Rattus norvegicus: one gene and its partner. The protein of the gene in region 1 interacts with the protein of each later gene in a pairwise test. Links are inferred from orthologs where the notes say so. Each region holds a gene or a part of one and is shown in the gene's direction. Other genes may lie near its edges. The genes, in order: Gse1 and Ralbp1.

Region 1 (3,808 bases):
CTACACCAACCTGTAGCTTGCCTACGTCAGATCTCAGAAGCTGGCCTCCCAAGCCAGCGTGTCTCTGAGCCTAGCCACCCGTCCTCCTGTGCTGCCGCTTTGCTTCTGACTGACAGTGCTGGGCTGTCACTGTGCTGTGTTCACACTGCCCAGCCTTGGGGCTGGCTCTGCCTGCCTGGGACGACAGAGTTCTCTGGGTGTAGGCAGCAGGTCTGTTGCCCATTTGAAAATGGAGAGTTCCTTCCCTAAGCTCCAGCCTCCAGGCCTCATTGCCAAGGTCAGGTCCTGATAGGTAATCACATGAAGAAGAGGTGTGCTCGGCTGGGACTACACAGGGGCTTTGTACAATTATACAAGTTACATACGGGCCTCAGCAGTTAGAGGCCAAAGCCGTGTTTCCACAGGTAGCAGGATTGTCTCAGGGAAGAGGGGGCTGTGTCAGTGACTGAGATCATCCCTGATGACTCTGTCCTGCTGGAGCCGACACCCCAAGAACTAATCTCTCCCCACCCCCACCTACCTGTCTCTTCTCTCTTGCTGCTGGGGTTGGTTGGGAAGGGGAACATGATGCTCCTTTCTGGGTCGATGGGGCTATTCTAGGTATAGTAGTAGTCATTCAATATGGTAGATATATTGAGGTACGTTGACAGAGGTTTTGGTTTTTTTTTTTTTTTTTTTTTTTTTGGGTTCTTTTTTTCGGAGCTGGGGACCGAACCCAGGGCCTTGCGCTTCCTAGGTAAGCGCTCTACCACTGAGCTAAATCCCCAGCCCCGTTTGACAGAGCTTTTAAAAGAGTGAATACCATCTCAGGTTTTTTTTAAAGATGTATTTATTTTATATGTATGAGTACACTGTAGCTGTCTTCACACACACCAGAAGAGGGCATCGGATCCCATTACAAATGGTTGTGAGCCACCAAGTGGTTGCTGGGATTTGAACTCAGGACCTCTGGAAGAGCAGTCAATGCTCTTAACCACTGAGCCATCTCCCCAGCCCATCTCAGATTTTTTAATGTAAAAATAGCTGCCCACCTCCATGCCTCTGAGAGGCAGTATGACAAAAGGCCAGCAAAGCTGGCTACAGCATGGCTCTGGGTTTCTCCCTGCCTGACTGCTCTTGGGCCTCACTCCCTGTGAGCATTCTGGAATGGCTGAAGTGTGGGTGCGGCTCGTGGCGGTGACACATGCAGTCCCTGAACTTCTGTGTTCTCTCTCCACAGGGTCTTCACTGAGCAGCGAGTCATCTCCTGTGTCCTCTCCAGCCACCAACCACAGCTCTCCGGCTAGCACACCCAAGCGAGTGCCCATGGGCCCCATCATCGTTCCCCCCGGGGGTCACAGTGTTCCCAGCACTCCTCCGGTGGTCACTATTGCCCCCACCAAAACAGTCAATGGAGTCTGGAGGAGCGAGAGCCGCCAGGTGAGTCGGGCAGCCCAGAGATGGGGGCGTAGTGGGAGTGATGGGACAGGGGGTGTCCCTGCGTGGAGTTTTCTGTCCACAGCTCTGGGATGGGGGCGAGTTTGGCCTCTCACCCTGGTCCTCAGTGTCTTCTGCGAGGTGCCCTTGATACACCACCCCCTGAACTGGAAGATGCTAGAATTACGGCAATTCTTACATCAGGCTTCTGACTGAGTACCACACAGACGCATCTTGGTGTATGAGGCCTGACTAAGCCTGGGGAGGGGAAGGGAGGGGAGGGAAAGGATAGCCTATGCACTCCTTCCAAGAACTGCCCCTTTACTTTAAGATGGTATCTTCTTGTGTCCTCTGGTGGCCTTGGCAATAATGACCTCTTTAGGGGTCTAGGGAGACAGATTTACCCAGAGGCACTGGGTTGACACAGACTACACACCATAAAGGGCCTGGGGGTATCTGAGCTTTGGGTCTCCAGGAAGACAATAGCTGTCACTGCTTTGCAGGAGTAGGGGATGGTACTCTTCTAGTCCCTGATCCCAGCACGGGATCTTGTGTGTCTGCAGTCTCTCAGCTGGCTCTGTGTAACCAAACTGGAATGGAGGAGCCGGTGCCCAGACCTTCCCCAGTACTGTGCTGGGCCTCCCACCGGCCTGGCGCCCAGAGGGGGCCTTGCTAATTAAGAACCGCTGTCAGCTGTGGCTTCCCCTGGATTCTCCAGCCTGGTTCCCACAGGGTTTGTACTGCTAGGAAGTACTAATTAAACCACAAAGACGGCGGAAGGGAGGGGAACACCTCCCCCCTGCTGGGCTGGGGCTGGATAGTAAGGGTGTGAGCTTCATCTGCCCCGCCAGTCTGATTGGTGACCCTGGTCCCCAGTAAAGTGCTCAGAACATCCGTCAGGTTCCTGACTGAAGGGAACCGAGACAGCCTGCTGCTGCACCCGGAGAAGGAAACAGAGTTCTGTCATCGAATTCAGTCAGCGGCCTAGTTCCCTCCCTGGATTAAGGAAGTTGTCTGTGGTGACCGGCTGGGCTTGGGAGGCTTAGCTTTGACCTCAGACAGTGAGGTCACTGATATAACCTGTCCTCTAGCTTCGCACACAGGGTTAAGTGGTGGTGCAGCAGTGACCCCTCCCCTTCGGGACTCACATATGCTTCGATGATGTTAGCTGACCAGAGGGTGTCACCACAGGCTTAGATAACCATAAGGAGACAGAAGTCCAGGAAGGGCTGGCAGGCCTGTCTCCAGGGACAATCCGTGGTACTATGCTGGCTACCATGTGCCTTTTGGTCACACCATGGGTTCAGCCCGTGTCAGCCAGAGGACCTGGTGTTCCCTAGCGAGTACTGCTGTCTGCTGGTGCTGAACCTCTCCTGCAGTGTTGAGGGAAGGACCTGAATGTAGTACCAGGGGGCTTCTGGCCCTCAGACTCTCCTCGGCTCACAGTGTCCCCCAGACTTTGCCATGTTCCCACTGGTGCCACTCCTCCTTGCCGTGAGGATTCCTCCCTAGTCACAGGCAGGCAGGGCTGTTCGATCTGGTTTCTCCGGGCTGAGTGCTGCTGTGGCTGTTTATACAGAAAGTCTGTGAGACTGGATCTCCCCATGCCCCAGCCCTACTGCTGCCTCTCACTTCATGCCTGAAGGGAGCCTCTCCTGGGGTCTCTAAGTCTATCTGGGTACAAGGGTGTCCCCATGTAGGTCCAGCAGATTGCCAACCACTGGCAGTGTCCAGAGAGCTGCGGGCACAGGCTGGAGTCTTGGGAGAAGCTCTGTCCTAAGGTGCAGGTCCCCAGGGCGTTTTTGCTTGCAGGAAGTGGGGGTTCCTGCCCTGCGGATCCTCTCAGATACCTTATCTTGGGATTCAGCAGTCTGCTGTTTAAGGTTTCCCCGGCATTGCTGAGTTCCTGTGGGAGCTGAGCCAGGGCCTGGTAGACCTTGGTCCAGACCTGCTCACGGGAGGTTTTCTCCCTAAGTATCTCTAAAATATATTAGGGGAAGGATGCTTCTAGAGTATGAGCTAAACACAGGCCTCTCTGAGGACCTGGCTGGCTCCCCAAGACCTAACTCTGTCTTCTTCCCACAGGACTCCGGCTCACGAGGCGGCAGCAGCGGTCGGGAGCGTCTGCTGGTGGAGCCGCCTCTAGCCCAGGAGAAGGCAGCGGGCCCCGCCATCCCCTCCCATCTACTCAGCACCCCTTACCCCTTTGGCCTCTCCCCCAGCTCAGTTGTACAGGACTCCCGCTTCCAACCACTCAAGTGAGTGCCGGGCTGGGGTCAGGGAGGGCTCCAGATAGGTCTGAGGGTTTGCACCAGCTGAGGTGGATGCGTGCTGTTAGCCTCTGTGGCCTGAGCTGCCCTGAGGTCCTTGGCTCCACCCGAGCTTATGGTCC
Region 2 (3,908 bases), on another chromosome or scaffold:
AGTGGAAGCCTCCATCTGTCTCTGTGGGTTCGTGGGTTCTGCTTGGACATGATGCTTATTTCTAAAACAGTTACCAGAGTAAATGGTTCTGTGGTGCTCCTTAAGTGGGAGGGGAAAATGCTGAGAAACAGCCCTGTAAATACCTCCATTAGCACAATTGAATAATAAAAAGTGTGTAAAGATTATTCCTGGATTGGCTCGCCCGCTGAGGCTCACATAAACACAGCACTTAAGGATCTCAGAAGGGAGTCAGTCTTCACTCTAACTGACCGCTCTTGCTTTTCCCTCTACCTTGCTGTGTCCCCTAACTCTCTTTCAGCTTCATTCACTTCCAGTGGACAGGCCACGTGATGTTGCAGTAAATATGACCACCGGTGAATTACTCAGTAAAGAACGCCTCTTTCCCCACCTCATTATTTTATATGTCAATGTCAGGAGAGGGTTCATAAAGCCCTGCTCAGACCAGTGCCTATCCCTTGGCCATATCAGAACTGCCAGTGGGAAGGAGCATTTTAACTGGCATACTCACAGGCCAGCTTCTCCTGGAGGCTGTTTTATTGCTACAGGGGTTCTGGAAAGATCCCTCTAGGACCTCAGTGTTCCACTGAGGGTGACTCTTGCGCAAGGAACGGACTTGTCATATTTGAGGAAAGATGGCTGGGGGGCATAGTACAGGACGGATCATCGAAATCCATATGGCTCTCGGAAAGAAGCATACACTAGAAATCTCATCTCTCTTCTGACTGCCAATGCTATAAACCCAGAATACTTCAAAGGACTGCTGTTTATCACGGTATACACCGGAGAACACTCCTTCAGTCCTTCATGGAGGACTTCGGGAGGATATTCAGCTGTTTCTGTTTGCGAGCTGAACATGATGCTGTGCAGCTTTAACTCGGGGGTTGATTGCTAACTGCTGAGCTAAGTGGGTGGGAGTCAGCAGTTCCCCGCAAGCCAACACACTAAAGGGATCCTGCGGACTTCCCCGCATAGGCCCCAAAAGCTTCCTTTCTCCAAACCCCAAGGCAAGAATTCTCCAACTGAAGATCTCCGCCCAAAGAAGGCCAGCAAGGTGCTCCGCCCAGAGGCGGGGTGGGTCGGCAGCCCAGGCTGGTTTAACTGGTCGGAACCACTAAAGTACGCAGACGCTTGGGGGAAAGTGTCATTTTCGATAGCTGCGGACACCCGGCCAGAGCTTGGGGAGGATTGCGCTTTCTTTCCTGCAGAGCTCCGCAGGGATCCCACACTGTTTTCACTGGGATTCGCTCCGGTAGGTGTGTGTTCCACTCGGTCCCCAGGACACTGCGCAGGCGCCTGCAGAGCCTTAGCGCTTGGCGCATCCTCTCGCGGGTTCCCTGTTTCCCCAACGAGTTCCATCTCGTGAGGCGCGATGCTTTCTGGGTGTTGTGGTTTGTGTCCGAGACACGGGCCTGCAGTGGCGGGGGTGGCGGGTTTACAAGAACTACAACTCCCGGCGTGCCCCGTGCGAGGACAAGGGGCGTTTGCCCTAGACGCCCCTAGCCGTCACGGCCAAGGATCGGAGGACCCGGGAAGCCGGCTGCGGCGGGAGGAGGGCGTGCGCGTGCGCGCTGGGCGGCTCGTCCTGTTCTGTCCCAATCATTGTAAACAGGCGGAGGCTGGGCGGGGTGGGAATGGGGCTCCCGCGGCCGGCCAGGGGGGCAGCGCAGGAGGCGGCGGTTGTAGCGGCAGCGTGAGTGCGAGGAGGCGGCGGCTGCAGCGGAGCGGACGGTCGCTCGGCGGCAGGCACTGGTCAGTGGCGGGGAGCGTTGGCTCGCGGGGGTCGCAGCGCTGCAGTGGTGTCTGTGGGAGCCGTCCGGCGCCCGGCCTTGCGCCCGCGCCTGTCATGCAGCGTGCTGGGCTTGGGATCCGGGGCTCGGAATTGGAGTTGGGGGTGGGGGGCGTGGCTGCCCCGCCTTACGTTGTCCGCGAAGGCTTCACTCCCCGAGCTTGCTCCTTTGGGGTGGGTCACCCCGCCTGCCGGACAGGCCTCCCTGGGACCTCCCGGTGTGTCCTGTGCTGCTGTGGGAGCCAGGGGCTAGCTGGGAGCCCAGCTGCTTCCTTGGATCTTCCAGGCCGCGGGGCATCCCTGCGGGCCACACCTGGCCGGAGCTGCGGCGGGGGACTGGCCTGACGCAGTCTTCCGGTTTATGGGTCTCACCTGGCTCGCCCACCTGTCTCCGCAAGCGGGGTGGAGTCGGGGAACAGCTCCTGCTGTGGCTCGTAGCCTGCGTTGGGCAGGGGGGCGACCCTGATTGTAGCGGTCCTTGTTTCAGGGTTCAGTGGAAGTGTTCGGCCAGATCTGGAGTTGAGAGCTTCGTTCTCAACGCGTTTTCATGCCGGAGTGTTCTTAGTCCAGGCCAGCTTTCTTTTTCCCGTCTTTTAAATATGTCGCAGTGAAACAGAGTTTGACAAAATATTCCACTTCCCAGTCTTCTGAAGTAGTGCTGGTTCAAGTTTGGGGATCATTACAAGGATTCTTCCAGAGAGAACAGCGCAGTTACCCTAATGTTATTGGAGATCACAGCCGTTTTCGTTTGGAGGTCTATGCCTGTGACAGAAGTGTGCTATACACTGTGTACATCGAGCTGTTCCACTGCCCAGCCTCAGTGGTGTTGATGGAATGAATGCCAGTGGGCTACCACTGAGTAGCTTGGGAAGCATTACTCATACCTGGCAGTTATTGACCAAGACCTTAGTGATAAGTTAATAGGCCTACTTTGGATTTAGTGTTCAGGTGCTAGCACTTGGAAAGGAAAGATCCCATCACTTTCTGTACTAGGAATTATATCGATGATTTCAAGGTCCTGGGTATCTTCCTCGAAATGAATAACTTCCTTTTAGTGGTGTTGGCATTTACAGGGGTTTGGAGCTTCTACTTTTTCAGTGTGTCCCATAGATTGGAGAGAGATAGGTTAGTTTAATAGCAGCTGCTGTTAAATAATTTTTAAAACAAAGTATCTAGAAGCCGGCTGGTGGTGGCACATACCTTTATTCCCAGCACTCTGGAGGCAGAGGCAGGAAAATGTCTGTGAGTTCCAGGTCTGCCTTGTCTACAGAGAGGGTTCCTGGACAGCCAGGGCTAAACAGAGAAATCCTGTCTCAAAAAACAAATCACAGAGTATCTAGAAACAAGGTAAGATGACTGAATTTGCTGTCTTTTTAAACGGTGGTTTCTCATAAGTTTACAGGGACCGTTTTCCTCATAATTTAGAGAGACAGAAGTGGTATTTTAAAAATTGAGTACTGGGGCTGGAGACAGGGCACACTGGTTAAGACGTTCGCAGTATGACTCTTGGAGAGTTACAGGGTTTGCTCCCCAGAAACTGTTCCCAACTGTCTGTAAGTCCAGCTCCCAGGAAACCCAACACCTGGTCTTCACAGGCAGTGGCTCACCTCCCCCTGTAATTAAAGATAATACAAATCTAAAAAAATGAATATTAACTTTATTTTGTACAGTTAATTTGCATAGTCATAGCTTGGCAAAGAGAAGATTAGGTCCACAACACTACAGAACACTATCCCAAAGTATGTTCTGTTATTTTCTTTTTGTGTGTTGGGGTTGGGGGTAGATGGGGGTGGCAGGGTCTCACTGTGAAGTCCTGGCTAGCCTGGAACCTCCCTATGTGGACCAGGCTGCTTCAACACAGAGATCTTCCTGCTTTTGGCTCCTAAGTGCTGGGATTAGATATGTGTCCAGCTATTATTTTCTTTGAAAAAGAAAGTCTCTGATAGACTTTATGCTAATATATGTGAGACAGAGCATGGGGGAAATGCAGATTATTTAGAATACAGGAGTAGAGAGAACTTGGAGGAGGATAAGAGCCACATTCAGATGGTCAGAGTTCTCTCTTCTTTTTTTTTTTTTTTTTGGTTCTTTTTTTTCGGAG

The links.
Region 2: the proteins of Gse1 (region 1) and Ralbp1 interact in binary tests that used the Homo sapiens proteins (3 or more experiments, as listed by UniProt). The link is inferred for Rattus norvegicus from reciprocal best matches to the Homo sapiens genes GSE1 and RALBP1.

The regions. Positions count from the first base shown.
Region 1 is NC_086037.1:65,518,363-65,522,170, forward strand, and holds part of Gse1 (Gse1 coiled-coil protein), read left to right. Parts: intron 1-1,219; coding exon 1,220-1,419; intron 1,420-3,501; coding exon 3,502-3,674; intron 3,675-3,808.
Region 2 is NC_086027.1:112,937,280-112,941,187, reverse strand, and holds the start of Ralbp1 (ralA-binding protein 1), read left to right. Parts: upstream 1-1,528; 5' UTR 1,529-1,770; intron 1,771-3,908. UniProt on the Homo sapiens protein: Multifunctional protein that functions as a downstream effector of RALA and RALB. As a GTPase-activating protein/GAP can inactivate CDC42 and RAC1 by stimulating their GTPase activity.